Stegostoma tigrinum: one gene and its partner. The protein of the gene in region 1 interacts with the protein of each later gene in a pairwise test. Links are inferred from orthologs where the notes say so. Each region holds a gene or a part of one and is shown in the gene's direction. Other genes may lie near its edges.

Region 1 (8,221 bases):
GTTCAGAGGGCAGCTGAGAGTCAACCACACTGCTGTGGGTATGGAGTCACATGTAGGCAAGTACAAGGTGAGGATGGCTGATTTCCTTCCCTGAAGAACATTAGTGACGCAGATGGGTTTTTTTCCAACAATCGACAATGGTTTCATGGTTATCAGTAGATTGTTGATTCCAGACATATTGTTTTTTTTACTAAAATTCCACCATCTATTGTGGTGGGATTCAAACCATAATCTCCAGTACATTCACTGAATTTCTAGATTAATAGTCTAGCAATAATATCAATAGGCCATTGCCTTCCCCCAAATGGTGCATATCCTGCTATATCTTTTGATAACCTTCCACACGATCCAGATTTCCACCAATTTTTGTGTCATCTACAAATTTAATAATTAGACTAATTATATTTCATCCAAATCTATAGTACAAAAAGTATTGGTCACAGACCTCTAGTCAGAAGAACACTGCTCCATAACTACCCTTTACGTCCTATGGCCATGACAATTTATGAATGGATTCAATGGATGGAAGGCTGGTTTGTGTGATGGACTCGGATGTGTTCACAACTCTGGTCATTTCTTGTGGCCTTGGGCAGACCAGTTGCCATAGCAAGCTGTGATGCATCCATATAGGATGCTTTCTATTGTGCATCTATAAAAATTGGTAAGAGACATTGTGGACATGAGAATTTCCTTAGTCTTCTGAGGAAGTAGAGACGTTGGTGTGCTTTCTTGACTGTAGAATGGATCAGGACAGATTGTTGGTGATCATCACCCCTAGGGACTTGATGCTCTTGACCACCATCTCCACCTCAGTGCCACTGATACAGACAGGGGCATGTTCTCTACTCTGCTTCCTGAAGTCAATTACCAGCTCCTATATTTGGTTGACATTAACGGAGAGATTCTTGTCTTTACACTATGCCACTAGGCTCTCAATTTCTTTCCGGTACTCTGTCTCGTTGGTGTTTGAGATCCTACCTACTGTGATGTCATCAGCAACTTGTAAATGGAGTTAGAGCAGAACTTGGACACATGGCCATGAGTGTGTAAGGAGTACAGTAAGGGGCTGAGTATGTAGCCTTGTGGGTCACTGGCATTGAGGATTATCCTTACTGATTGCGGTCTATGGGTCAGGAAGTCAAGGATTGAGTTGTAGAAATGGGGAACAGAGCCCAAGTTCTTGGATTTTGAAGGTGAGTTTGATTAGAATAATGGTTTTGAAGGTAGAGGTATAGTCAATAAGTAGGAGTTTGATGTAGGTGTCCTTGTTATCCAGATGTTCCAGAAATGAGCATAGGACCAAAGAGACAGCAACTGCCGCGGAACAATTGTGACAATAAGAAATTTGTAGTGGATCAAGGCAATCTGGGAGGCTGAAGTTGATATGTGCCATGACTAACCTCTCAAAGCTCTTCATAATGATGGATGTCAGATTCATTGGGTGGTAGTCATTAAGGTACGCTGTCTGATTTTTCTTTTGCACCTGGATGATAGTGGTCTTCTTGAAGCAGGTGGGAAAATCAGATCAGTGAAAGGAGAGGTTACAGATGTCTGCAAGTACTCCCGCTAGCTGGTCTGCACAGGATCTGTGTGCGCAGATCCCTGTTTGCCTAAGTGTTTTACAAGACACCCAAGACTTATTGCTTCTTAATATTGACATCTCCAAGAATATCAATATATTCCTCCCTAATCTTATGTCTTACATGTCTTTCTCCTTGGTGAATATCAATGTAAAATACTCACTAAGGTCTCACCCAATTTCTCTGGCTCCATTTGTAAATTCCGTCCTTTGTGCTTGAGTGGAATAAATCTTTCCTTAGCTATCCTCTTCCTCTTAATATACATATAAAATGCCTTGGCGATTCTCCTCAATACTACTTGCCAAGAACATTTCATGGGTCCTCTCAATCCTCGCAATTCTTTAGGTTCTTTCCTGCTTCCTTTATATTCCTCAAGGGAATTGTCCAATTTCAGTTTCACAAAAGTTACATACTCTTTCTTCCTCTTCTTGAAAAATCTTTCATCATTTCTTGCCGTCATAGGGTTCCTGAATCTTACCATTCTTATCTTTCATCCTCATATGCTGATCCTATTCTCTGATCAACTAGTTCATAAAAGGGTCCCATACATCGGATGTGGATTTACTGTCAAAGAGCCACCCCCAAATCTAATTTCTCCAGCTTCTGCCTAATACTGTTGTAATTAGCCTTCTCACATTTTATTATGTTTATTTATTCACAATCTACTTTCATATTCTATATTTCTTCTCTACATCAAAGTCAAGTGATGGGGAGTAAATGACCTTGACAACTAGAATGAGAGGTCATAGTTTTAGGAGTAGCAGATTTATGACCAGAAGCAATAGGAACAGGAATAAGCTGTTCAGCCCCTTGAGCCTCCTCTGCTATTCAATCAGATCATGGCTGATCTGACATTCCTCACATCGGTTTCCTGCCTTTTCCCTGTAAACCCTACTGATCGAGAATCATAGGAACATAGGAATTAGGAGCAGGTGTAGGCAATTCAGCCCTTTGAGTCCACTCTGCCATTCATCATGATCATGGCTGTTTTTTCCTTGTCTCAACTCCATTCTCCTGCCTGCTCCCCATACACTTTATCCAACTTTCCATCAACATATCTATTTCCTTCTCAAGTCTATTGATTCTGCCTACACTCCATTCTGGGGCAATGAGTTCCACAGATTTGCAATCCTGGGAGAAGTAGTTTCTGCTCATCTCAGTTTTGAACCTACCTCCTCTCAGTTTATATCTATAAACTCTTGTTCGAGAATGCCCCACAGTGGGGATCATCTGTTCAACTTCCCTTTAGCATTTTATATCGTTCAAACAGATCCCTCTGATTCTTCTGAACTCCAGTAAGTACAAGCCCAAGCTGTACAAGTGCTGCTTGTATGACAGTCCATTCATCCATGGAATCAACCTGATGAATCTCTTCTGAGCTGCCTCTAGTGCACTACATTCCTTCATAAAGTAAGGAGACCAAAACTGGATATAACATTCAAGCTGAGGTCTCACCAAAGCCATATATAATTTTAACAGTACATTTTCAGTTCTTTAATCCAGTCCTTTTGCTATAAATGTCAGGATTCCATTTGCCTTTCTTAGTATATGCTGCATCTGCAGAGCCACTTTCTGCAATTCATGCACAAAAATGCCCACATCCCTCTGCACTGACACACTTTAAATGTGCTTCCCATTTAAATAATAATTTGGCCTTTTATTTTTCCTGCCAAAAATGGACAACCTCACACTTAATACACATTAAACCCCATCTACCAGATTCTGGCCCATTCTCCTAGCCTGTCAATATCCATCTATAAACTCTTTACCTCCTCGTCACAGGCTGCTTTCCCATGTATTTTAATGTTATCTGCGAGTTTTGCTATGTTACACTCTGTCCCTGCTGGCAGATCATTTATATAATAGTTGAGGACTGAGAGACCATTAGTTACAGTTTGCCATTTAGAGAAGGACTGATTTACCCCAAGCCTCTGATTTCAGTCAGTTAGCCAACTCTCTATCCAAGCCATTACTCTACCCTTAATTCCCTGGGTCAGTATTTTATGTGGAACCTTGTCAAACGCCTTCTGGAAGTCTATATATACACCACATCCACCAGATTCCCATGACTCGCCTTGCTGATTTGATTTCCCAGCAAGTTTGTCAAGCGTGGCTTGCCCTCATGAAATGATGCTGACATTGGTGAATTCAGGTTTGTTTCTCCAAGTGTTCAGTTCTCTCTTCCTTTATGATTGGCTCTGGTAACTTCTCCACTACAGAGATCAAGCTAACTGGTTATTACGATGTGGAGGTACTGGAGTTGGACTATGGTGTACAAAGTCATAAGTCACAGGGCACCAGGTTATAGGCCAACAGGGTTTATTTGAAAGTACAAGCTTTTGGAGTGCAGCTCCTTTGTCAAATGAAGTTGCTTAGTAAATTCACCTGGTGCTGTATGATTTATAACTGGTCATTGTACAACATTCAGCACCATTCCTGACTTCTCAGGTACTGAAGCAGTCCATGTCAAAACGCAAGCAAGGTCTTAGCAAGAACGAACTTGTATCTCACTGCTGACATTCCCTTTAGCTTAGTCACGAAATCATGTCAAACAAGGAGGTGGCCAATGGACTCTTGCTCACTATGGTCAGGTTCAACTGCCACATGGAAGGGAATGAACTTCCAGACAAATGGAAAGGTTCTTTAGCGGAGCCATCAACCAACTCCTAAGTTAGACCACGATGTCGTCAAGCCAAACTTCTGAATCTATATTTATTTTAAATAGACAACCTAAACAGCCAGCCTTCCCCTTCCTCGTTGGCTCGAACCTGGCCATTGATTGGTCAACACAACCATCACTCATCCCTTTCCCATCAGGCGGCGCCAGCCGTTAAATTCACATTTAGTCCCGCCTCCGGCTCGCCGTCATTACTCCAAATATAGATTGGCCAATTAATCCATCAATCACTGTCATTGTCCGTTCTTTACTGGTTAACCAATCCATCAATTAAACCGGTGACGATCTGTCCGGTCTTCAAACTCCCGGTACTTTCCGACCGTGGATTGGTTCGTCTGTCCATCAATGAATTGAAGGGCGTTCAAGCATCGTGTCCGCTGCCTCGGTTGGTCCAATGTCTCCCAGACACAAACGGTTTTCATTGGCCCAGTGGTCACAAATACCGATAGTCGATTGGTTAATATTTCAATCAACCAGCAGTCCGCGCGCGTGGGGATGACGTAAGGTTCGGCGCTCCAATTTGGACCTGCCCCACCCACTGTATTCCAATTGGTCCTTGGGGCCAAATGTCGATTGTCTATTGGTGAACGGGGCCGTCAGTCAATCGGTTGGAGGCGGGGTGGCTGGTGCCGTCAGGTTTGGTTGAAGGGGACTGGTTGTGGGCCATTACCCTTGGCAAGATGGCGGTGTTTGCCGGTTTTGGTGACTGTGACCAAGTCTGTTTTCGTGTATATTGCGGTTAGAAGCCTCTTAGCTGTCCATACGCTTTGACGTGGAGTAGACTGGTTTGGTGTGTTTGGTGCTCGAATTGACTTGGCAAGAAGTGCTTTTCCTGAGCGCTTCTCCTGCTCCGCTCCCATTATATTTTTCTCTCTGCCTAATAAAATGGCAACCATGGAGAAATTGATGAAGGCCTTCGAGTCACTAAAGTCATTCCAGCAGGGACCGTCCAGTGAGGAGCCGGGGCAGAAACCGTGAGTAAAACGATCCTGGTGAGAGAGGGCTGGGGATGGTTTGTAGGGGAGCTGCTGGTGAATCCCGCTGACATTCAAGTACTTACAGAGATCTACAAACAGCAAAACGCGTGCGCGCAAGGATTAAATAACTAACGCAAAATTTCACTGTGGGATGGATTCCAATGTACAAAAATCGCACCCTGACGTCTGGTGTGCATTGGCATTTCATGGTGTCCTTCTGTACACTGGCGTGTCAGAGTGTGATTATGTACCAAAACATGCCGTGGAACCCATAGAATTCCTCCAGGGTGAAAGGAGGCTATTTGTCCCCTTGAAACCGCACTGACCCATTGAAGAGCATCCCACCTAGAACCACCACCCCCCCGCCCCACCTCTACCCGGGCCCTGACGTCCTAGTGTACAAAAAAATGTGCTGGCACGCCAATATGTAAAATCGTATACTGATGTACCAATGTACAAAAACACATGCTGGTGTGCAAGCTTATAGCTTGCCATGCTGATGTAGAACAGTACTGATACACCCATGTATAATAAGTGAACACTGACTGTCTGACATACAAACCAGGTGTGTTGACATTGGTACCCAAGTGGCTGGAAATAAATGATAGACAACTTGTATACAATTACACTTGTGCACAAATCAGATATAGTTCCAGGCTAAGAAATCTGGGAGATGATCATTAGTCACTCCTTTTTATTGTCTTATTTCTGTATATATTGAAATGACTCCTGTTGCAGTGGTGCATGTGAGATGTTTCTGCTTTGCTGGATGGTTAGAGATGGGAAGGAATAACAAAAATAAACTGCAAATCTACAAGTGTGAAACAATACTGTAAGCACTTGCTGTGCCAATCAGCATGTGGGGCAAAAACAAATGAGGTAATGTTTGCTGAAGATCCTACACCTAAAGTGCTACTGTTTTTGATCTCCATATGCTGACTGACTTGCTGAATGTTCCTAGTTTTTGTTGTTACTTTCTAGTTTTCAACTTGTACAGTGTGTGTAAGTTATGGATGTATATCAGTTTCTTGTTTTCCCTGGGAATATATCAATATTTGTTGTAGAGGCAGACAATGATGTTGAAATGGCTTTGGATTTATTGGGCAATGCTGAGTTTTTGTTTACAATGACGTGAAAACTCAGGTTGTGGAACGTGGAGTGGTGGAAGGGATATCAATACGTGATGTTTCCTTGGTCTTTATCCATACACAACAGCATTGTTGTCATACTTCTCATAGAAACTCAGCAGGGAGATGGGGAAAGAATATTTTAACTGCCAGGATTTCCACTTGCCCAGCATGTTCAGTCACTTTTTGTGAATCCAGCTCTGTAGCACTTTTTGCACTTGGTGCAATTCTGAAGAGAGATATTGCATTTTGCTGTGCATGAATGAGTGAAGATAATGATAAAATTAGTGGAAGTTGGGTGGGGCAGGTAACATAAAAAGTGAAATTGACAAAACTAAGTGGAAGGTACATCGCCTGGTGAGCATGTTATCTTTTTATGTTTTTGATAAAGATCTGCATTTGATACTGGACCTTGGTGAAATCCTTGGATTTCTGTGCATTGACACTGAAATACTTGCTGATTGATCTGTGTAATATGAGACTCCAGGCCTTGTGTGCCTCTTTGCGATTTTTAAGATGCAGTCGAGCTATAACTATGATTGATTGTTTATTTCCACTTCTGCATTATTTAAAATGCAGACATCTTCCAAGGTAAATATTTTTCTGGAAGTGTAATTTCTGCTTTTGGAAGCGGAACTCAATGAATGTGCTGCAGTTCTAGAAAGTCAAGGATACCTGTTTGTATAGCATATTGGCAAATGGATGATATCCACGAGGACAGTGCCTCCTTGAAATACAAGACATCAAGTTCAGGTAATCCTGTGAGAAATATGTTGAATTGCCACCATTATCTCATGTCCAATATTTATTACAAACAGTATATTTTCTTGCTTAATTGGGAAATCACGAAACTAACAAGGGTTCTTTTGGGAAGTAAAGCTGCTATCTCTACTTGTACTGACCTACATGTGACTCAAGACCAACAGCAATGTTGTTGACTCCTAGCTGTCTTCTGAAATGACTTATTAAGTTAGTCACTTCAAAAACAGTTATGGATGGGCAGCAATTGCTGGGATCGTCAGCATTGCTCATATTTCTGGAAAGGATCAAAAGATATTGCTTTATTGCAAATTGGACTTTATTCTTTGCATATAACCACTGATGTTTGCCAGTGGTTGTTAAGCAGGTGACTGCGTGGGTTTGTTGTAACCTTAAAGATGTTAATGGTGTCTGACAAGAGCCTGGGCGTTCTCTATTGATCACTTTGCCATAGCAGAGTTTATATCTTTTTATATGGATGTTTATTTGCAAATCAGTAATAGGATTGAAAGATCCTTTGTAGCTTGGGCTGGAGGAAAGGCAAATTCTTGTAATCTCTAAATAGTCTCTCCGTGATTTTATATTCTTTTGTTGTCTGTGGTGGTGGAGATGACTTTTCACTTGTAAATTCTGATCAATCTTGGAGTCAGGAGCAAAGGGGAGCCAAAATGCTAAGTCAAACAGTTCTTGAATTGACTTTTAGCCAAGAATTTTCCTTTGAGTAGTTGTGTGGAGTGCTGAGTGGCAAAAAGGCATTCATAAACTCAAATCATCAAGCCTGTTCCATCAAAAATTCCTCCACCTGATGGTAACTCCCACCTCTGCACTATCTCGTGCCGCCTTATTGTGCACTTTATGGTTGCCTTTAGAAAATAAGGATGGAATTAATTTAATCACCTTTTAATATAGTTAATAAATTGTTACTCGGGCATAAACAGTGAAAACCCTGCTTACTTCACTGTAATGCAAAGTACCTTTACTGCTATCAACGGTACTTGCCATTTATACCCCTGGCCCTAATTGCTAGCTTAGTAATATGGTTTTCTGCACTTTTTATTCATAATGTCAGAAAAATGATTTGACAGTTAATGAATTGGCCTC
Region 2 (8,244 bases), on another chromosome or scaffold:
GCCATACTTTGCCAGTGAGGTCTTGACATGCTTCCTCTGTTCACCTGGGGCTCATCTGCTGTATTGAAGCTGGTAGTACAGCACCAGCTTGGGGATTATTGTGGCTTTTAAGCGGACGACGTGCAATATTCCTGCAGCAGTCACAGTAAAGATCACATCTGTTGCCCCCACCATGGCCAAAAGCCACACTGCAATTCTAGGAGGTGTCCTCAGGCACAGGGAAGAAATGATTGAGGAGGTCCTTGGCAATGAATTTTCCAACCGTTGACAACAGGGAGACTCTCCTGTAGTTACCACAGTCAGACATGTTTCGTTTTTTGAAAATGCTCACAACTGTGGCAACTTGGAGCTCTCCTGAATGGTCTCTTTTCCTCCCCATACAACAGCATCACTGCAACAGCCTCAGTACTCAACACCAACAACTGCCAATTTTCAGATGCCATCCTATAACTCATCCGCTTCATCCTTGATCTCAACATCTTGACCTTTGACAACCAACTCTTCATCGAGAACACGGAACAACCATAGGGACAAAGTTTGTGCCCCAATATGCCAACATTATCATGCACAAGTTTGAGCAAGATTTTTTCCCTGCACACGACCTCCAACCAACACCATACCTCAGATACATCGATGACATATTCTTCCTTTGGATTCATGGTGAGGAATCACTGGAATGATGCAGAAAGGTATCAACAAGTTTCATCCCACCATCAGACTTACCATTGTCTACCCTTAAAAATCAGTCTCATTCTTGGACACACACATTTCTATCAAGGACAGACACCTCAGTACCTCACTCTACCACAAACCCATGGATAACCTCATGATGCTGCATTTTCCTAGCTTCCACTCTAAACATGGTAAAGAAGCCACCCACTATGGACTAGCTCTGTGTATACACAGGGTCTGCTCAGACAAGGAGGAATACGACAGACACCTAAAGATGCTGAAAGATGCCCTCCTAAAAACAGGATATGATGCTCAATGCATTGATCGGCAGTTCCAATATGCTACAATGAAAAACCGCAAAGACCCCCTCAGAAGACAGACACTGGATGCAAATGATAGAGTACCCTTTGTCATCCAGTACTTCCCCAGTGTAGAAACTATACCATGTTCTTCTCAGCCTTCAACATGTCATCAATGGCAACGAACATCTAACCAAGATCATCCCTAGGCCTCCATTTCTCGCCTTCAAACAACCACCAAACCTTAAACAGGCCATCATTTGCAGCAAACTACCCAGCCTTCAGGACAACATTGACTATAATGCCACATAATGATTCATTTTGGAAGGACAAACTTGAAAGCAGAATTTGGGTTAACGGAAAGATTGTTGGCAGTGTGGAGGAACAGAGGGATCTTAGGGTTCATGTTCACAGTTCCCTGAAAGCTGTCACCCAGGTGGATAGAGCTGCTAAGAAGGCGTATGGTGTGTTAGCTTTCATTAATAGAGGGATCGAGTTAAAGAGCCGTGGACTTACGCTCCAGTTATACAAAAGCCTGGTTCGGCCACATCTGCTCTACACCTTGTTATGTGGAGTATTGTGTCCAGTTCTCGTCGTCTCATTACAGAAAAGACATGGAGGCATTGGAAAAGGTGCAGAGGAGATTTACCAGCATGTTGCCTGGAACGGAGGGAAGGTCTTACGAGGAAAGGCTGAGAGAGCTAGGGCTTTTCTCTTTAGAACGACAAAGGATGAGAGGCGACTTGATAGAGGTGTACAAAATGATCAGAGGTATAGATAGAGTGGACAGTCTGAGACTTTTCCTAGGGTGGAGATAGCTATTCTGAGGGAATATAGTTTTAAAGTGACTGGAGGTAGATAAGGGGAGTTGTCAGAGGTAGGTTGTTTACTCAGACAGCGGTAGGGGCGTGGAATGCATTGCCGGAGAGAGTAGTGGAGTCAGCCTCATTAGGGGCATTTAAGCAGCTATTAAATAGGCATATGGATGATAGTATAAGGTAGGGGAGGAGGTTAGATAGACTTTAGGATTAGGGTAAAAGTTCAGCACAACATCGTGGGCCAAAGGGCCTGTAGTGTGCTGTACTGTTCTATGTTCTATTACAACCCTGTTATGGCAACCTCTGCAAGACATACCAGATCAATGATATGGTCACTACCATCACACATGGGAAAACCACCCACGATGTATATGGCAGATACACATGTGACTTGGCCAATGTTGTCTATCTCATACACTGCATACAAAGATTCAACGAGACATGGTATATTGGCAAGACCGTGCAGATGCTACGACAACAAATGAATGGACATCGTGCAACAGTCGCCATTTAGGAATGTTTCCTCCCAGTCAGGGAACACTTCCACGGTCAAGAACATTCAGCCTCAGATTTTCGAGTAAGCATGCTCCAAGATGACCTTCACGATACACAATAACACAGAATCACCGAGCAGAAACTGACAGCCAAATTCTGCATCCATAAATATGGCATCAACCGTGATCTTGGGTTCATGTCATGTTGCCTGTGACCCCACCATAGTGTTCTATACCTGTAAAATCTTCCTTTCTGTCCTGTTTTGACACCATCACCTTGATAACTTGTTATGATCTCTGTACCTTAATTAGTTTGTACAGTTTTGGTTTACTTGTTACTTTGATTAGACTTTCGGCATGTGACTCCTTTACCTATCATATTATTCCACCCATTAGGTTTGTTTCCAGCACCAACTTTTTTTCAATTTTTGTAACTATCTTTATGCCTCAATTAATCAGATTATAGGTCATCCTTTCACTTGCTATCAAAGCTTCTGACACTTCCGATCACCTGCAGAGACTTACTTTTCAGTATGTCGATACTGCATTCACACCATGCGCAGTTTGATCTCTCTGCCTCTCTTCACTTTCTCTCAAAGGGGCAATGCTCCCAAAGCTTGTGATTTCAAATAAACCTGTTGGACTATAACAAAAAGTGTGGAGCTGTATGAACACAGCAGGCCAAGCAGTATCTTAGGAGCACAAAAGCTGACGTTTCGGGCCTAGACCCTTCATCAGAAACTTTCTGATGAAGGGTCTAGGCCCGAAACGTCAGCTTTTGCGCTCCTAAGATGCCGCTTGGCCTGCTGTGCTCATCCAGCTCCACACATTGTTATCTTGGATTCTCCAGCAGTTCCCATTATCGCTGTTGGACTATAACCTGGTATCATGTGACTTCTAGCCTTGTCTACCCCAGTCCATCACCAATGACAGACAATCTGTCCACTATCCCTTGACCTGGATGTGAGATTGCTCGCTGAGCTGGAAGGTTAGTTTTCAGAAGTTTCGTCACCATGTCATTTCCTGCCATCACCAACCCAAGGGAACCTAAACAGATAAATAGAAAGTGGGACATAACACCAGCGCTTCATCGGAGGCTCATTGATGATGTTACCTAGAATAGTGACGAAACGTCTGAAAACTAACCTTCCAGCTCAGCGAGCAATCTCACATCCAGAACCTCAACCTGAGCTACAAATCTTCTCAAAACTCGCTAACTATCCCTTGACATTCAAAGGTGTCACCATCACTGAATCCCCCACTATTAACATCCTGGGTGTGTTATCATTGACCAGAAACTCAACCAGACTCTTCACATTAACAGAGTGGCTACAAGATCAGGACAGAAGCTAGGAACACTGCGGCGAGTAACTCACCTCCTGACTCCTCAAAGCCTATCCGCTACTTCGAGGCACAAGTCAGGGTGTGATGGGAATGCGCCTCACTTGCCTGGATGAGTGCAGCCCCAACAACACTCAAGAAGCTTGACACCATCCAGGACAAAGCAGTCCACTACATCCACAAGTATCCACTCCCTCCACCACTGTCACTGAGTAGCAGCAATATATACTGTCAACTAGATGCACTGCAGAAATTCACCAAAGATCCTCAGACAGCACCTTCCAAACCCATGACCACTTCTACTTAGAAGGACAAAGGCAGCAGATATATGGGAATTGCACCACCAAGTTTCCCTCCAAGTCATCCACCATCCTGACTTGGAAATATATCACAGTTCCTTCACTGTTGCTGGGTCAAAAATCATGGGATTCCCTCCCTAATAGCATTGTGGGCCAACCCACAGCAGAAGGACTACAGTGGTTCAAGAAGGCAGCTCACCACCTACTTCTCAAGGGCAACTAGGGATGGGCAAGAAATGCTGGCCAACCAGCAACTCCCACATCCCAGAAAAGAATAGAAATGTAATAGCTTATATGTTACTGCTCCCAGAATTCCTGGAAATCAGTTCCAACGCTGAAAATTCTTCAAAAAAAAAGACCAGCTCTTATAGTCACAATTTTTTTCCTGTCTTGCATTACCCAGAATCATTTTTCTTAAACCTTTGCTGAGTCACTTCATCCTTAGCCAGCATGGGGATGGGGGCGTTGGTTTGGTCCATTAGTGGTCTTGACAGCACGGAAGAAACCCTAAACATCATGCCTGTCGTCCACTGGTTGGGCCTTCAGTGCTTTCTCTACCCACCACCTGTTCTGTATGTTGCAAGTTAATGGTTGGACCTCAGCCTTCAGTTGCCTTGTTGGCCTGTCTTTTCTCTTGAGTACTGTTGTTTTAAACTCAGAAACGCTTCCAGCTAAATAGTCCTGGATCTACTGTTCACTCCCATCAAACTTTCTGGCTGAATGTCCAACAGAGATTTTGCTGGCATCGATGAATGCGGCCTGAAGGGCAGACCAGCTATTCCACTTCGTAATCGTGTACTGTGTTTAAGAGGTTTGGGAAGCTGGGTAGCCACATAAACAGTTTCATTTGGTAGGACCCTGACTCCTCCAACCAGTTGCAAATCTCTAGTCCGCTCCAATTTGAAGACCAGTTCAGTCCTGCCTTGAAATTGGGTTTGGCGGTTGTCATGGCGACGTGCCGGCAGCGCGCATGCTCAGTGCGGGGCAGGCCGGTAGGGAAAGGATGACAAGATGGCGACCGCGATGTACCTGGAGCACTACCTGGACAGTGAGTACTGGGGCGGCCAGCGGAGTAGGACTCCCCCCACCCCCACCAGTTGCTGTTCTTCCCGAGGAGGGGGCCGCTTCGCCCGGGGAAGGGCGGAGAGAGAGTACAGCCCCGGGCCTGTATTCTCGGCGCCTAGGGGCCCAGCTCCTCTTGAGGTGGTTGTGAGAGCCTGCGAAGCCCGGGCTGGGAGTAGCCAGCATGGGGCCTAAGGCTGGTTTCCTGTGAGTTTGTGACGGCGTACTCCCTCACCACGCACGCGCGCCGGATTCGTGATTTTCCCGCCTCCGTTTCCTTGCAAATATGTAAACAAGTGCGAGTGTGCTACAGAGATTGCAAGAACTGCAGATGTTGGAGCCAGAGATAACACATTGTGGAGCTGGAGGCAGTATCAGAGGAACAGGAAAGTTTACGTTTCGGGTCAGGGCCCTCCTTCAGAAAAGGGGAAGGGGGAAAGGAGCTCAGAAGTAAATAGAGTAGGGTTGGGGCTAGTGAAGATAGGTGGGATGGTGATAAGGATCTGATGTACAGTGTGGGGCAATGGGCAGGGATCTGATATATGGCATGGGGCAATGGAGTGGTGCAGTTTGGAGGCAATTGGTAGTTATCTGATAACCCACACCCACATGAGGTATGTGACAGTGTGAGGTAAGAGCTGTTGCACTATAAAGGCATGGATAAGAGACAGTGATCTCAACAGGGTGAAGGTGGCTTAGCTGATTGGCCATGCCTACTTTGACTGGGGAAATGAAACTGAACCTGTTGAAGTGTATAAAAGGCAGCAGGGGTGTTTAAATGAAAGCAGAAGTTGCTGAAAAAGCTCAGCAGGCTCTGGCAGTATCTGTGAAGAAAAAAATCGGAGTTAATGTTTTGACTCCAGTGACTTTTCTTTAGAATGGATGCTAGCTGAGAAAATGTTGGCTTATGTGCAGAAAATAGGGAGGGATGGGGTAGGGAGTAAACAATAGGAGTTTTTTTCTCTCTATTCATTAACGGGATGAGGATGTTGCTGGCTAGGCAGCATTTATTGTCCATCACTAACTGCCCAGAGGGCAGTTCAGAGTCAACCAGATTGCTGTGGATCTGGAATCACACATAGGCCAGACCAGGTAAGGACGGCAGTTTCCTTCCCTAAAGGACATTAGTGAACCAGGTGTGTTTTTCTGACAATTGTCGGCGGATTCGTGGTCATTGTCAAATTCTTAATTCCAGATATTTTATTGAATTCAAATTCCACCATTGAATCTGGGACCTAGAATATTGTCAGGGTCTCTGGATTAACAATCCAGCAGTAATACCACTAGGCCGTTGCCTCCCTTTGATGGAGCCCGAAGACAGACAGAGAGAGAGAGAGAGAGAGAAGAGCAGTTGGACAGACAAAGGAGTTGATAATGACCTGGCTAGGAGGGTGAATAGTTGTTAATGGGGACTTAGTAATTAACAATAGGTAGTGTGTAATGGCAGGTTATGTGAAAACAAGGTCTGGTGTGTGGGGTAGGGGGCTAGGACATGAGAGAGTTAGGCCCTCTAAAATTATTGAACTCTATACAGGGTTTAGAGGGCTGCAAGGTCCCCAAATGGAAAATGAGGTGTTGAGCATCGCTGGAACACTGCAGCAAGCCAGAGACAGATGTTGGCTAGTGAACAGGGTGGTATGTTGAGATGGCAGGTAACTGGAAGCTCATAGTCTTTCATGAGCAGAATGTAGATGTTCTGTGAAGCGGTCACCCAGTCTATGCTTTGTTTCCCCAGTGTAGAGGAGACCACGTTGTGAGCGGCAAATGCAGTAGGCTAGATTCTGGGAAGTGCACCTGGAAGGTTTGTTTGGGGCCTTGGATAGTGGGCAGGGAAGAGGTAAACGTGCAAGTGTTGCACCTGCACAGGTTGCAGAGGAAGGTGCTGTGGCGCTGTTGCAGGGTGGGGGGCGGTGGGTGTTGGGGGGGCAGACAAGGGATGTGAGCGAGGGGGATATCCATCTGGTGGTGGCAGAAATATTCTGTGATGATCTTCTAGATGTGGATGCTGGTGGGATGGCAGGTGAAAACGAGGAGAACTGTATCATGGCCGGGAAGAGAGGGGGTGAGGGTGAGTGTCTGAGATGTGATAGACCTGGTTGAGGGCCCTGTACAACGGTGCTGGCGAATCCTCAGTTGAGCAAGAAGGTGGACATTTTGGAGGCTCCCTTGTCAAAGTTGGCCTCATCTGAACATATGCAACGGAGGAACTGAGAGAATGGGATGGGAGTCTTGCCAGTAAATTCCTAGAAATGGAAACAGATGTCGAAGAGGGAAAGGGAGGAATCACAGACACACCAGGTGAAAGTGAGGACAGGGTCAGAATTGGAAGCGAAATCATGAACTTTTCCAATACTGGACGAGAGAGTGAAGCAACAATGATGATATCATCAATGTATCAGGGAAGAAGCTGTGGGTGAGGGCCAGGATAGTAATGGACAATGAAATGTTCCACGTGTGCCATGAAGAGACTAGCATAACTGGGGCCCATGTGGATACCCATGGCCACCCCTCTGACCTGAAGAAAATGAGAGGAGTTGAAAGAGAAGTTGTTGAAGGTGAGGATGAACTCAGTCAAGCGGTGGAGGGTTGTGGTGGGTGGGGACAGTTAAAGTCTGTAAGAAGCAAGGAGCCCTAAGACCCTCCTGGTAGGGGAATGGACATGTAAAGGGATTGCATGTCCATGGTGAAGAGGAGGCAACTGGAGCCTGCACACTGGAAATTTTGAAACCTGCATAAAGCATCAGAAATCATGGATGTACTTGGGCAGGGATTGGACTGGGGATAGAAGACTGAGTCAAGGTAGGAAGAGAGGAGTTCTGTGGGGCAGGAGCAGGCTGAAACAATGATTCTGCCTGGACACTCCTGAATGTGGATTTATGGAAGGAGCTGTACGGAACTGGGGGACTATCAGCTTGGAGCCTGTCCAGGGGAGGTCACAAGATGAAGTGAGATCAGTGACTGTACTTGATACAATGGCCTGATGTATCATGGTGGGATCATGGTCTTGGAGAATATAAGAAGTATCTACAGGCTGGTGCTGAGCCTCTGCAATGTAGAGGTGAGTATGCCAGACTACCACAGCACCACCATTCTCAGCAGGCTTAATAACAAAGCCAGGGTTGGATCTAAGCGCACAGAGTGCGGTTGGTTTTATTAGTGTTTAAATGTGAGGGAGGAGAGGAAATGTAATTGAGAGTCTTTTAGGTCAAATTGGGAAATACTAGCAGAGGCAAATAAAGACACATCTGGAGGAATGGTT

Evidence for each region.
Region 2: the proteins of htt (region 1) and ing5a interact in binary tests that used the Homo sapiens proteins (3 or more experiments, as listed by UniProt). The link is inferred for Stegostoma tigrinum from reciprocal best matches to the Homo sapiens genes HTT and ING5.

Annotation. Positions count from the first base shown.
Region 1 is NC_081356.1:129,592,988-129,601,208, reverse strand, and holds the start of htt (huntingtin), read left to right. Parts: upstream 1-4,911; 5' UTR 4,912-5,142; coding exon 5,143-5,231; intron 5,232-8,221.
Region 2 is NC_081367.1:5,120,822-5,129,065, reverse strand, and holds the start of ing5a (inhibitor of growth protein 5a), read left to right. Parts: upstream 1-4,872; 5' UTR 4,873-4,934; coding exon 4,935-4,971; intron 4,972-8,244. UniProt on the Homo sapiens protein: Component of the HBO1 complex, which specifically mediates acetylation of histone H3 at 'Lys-14' (H3K14ac) and, to a lower extent, acetylation of histone H4. Component of the MOZ/MORF complex which has a histone H3 acetyltransferase activity.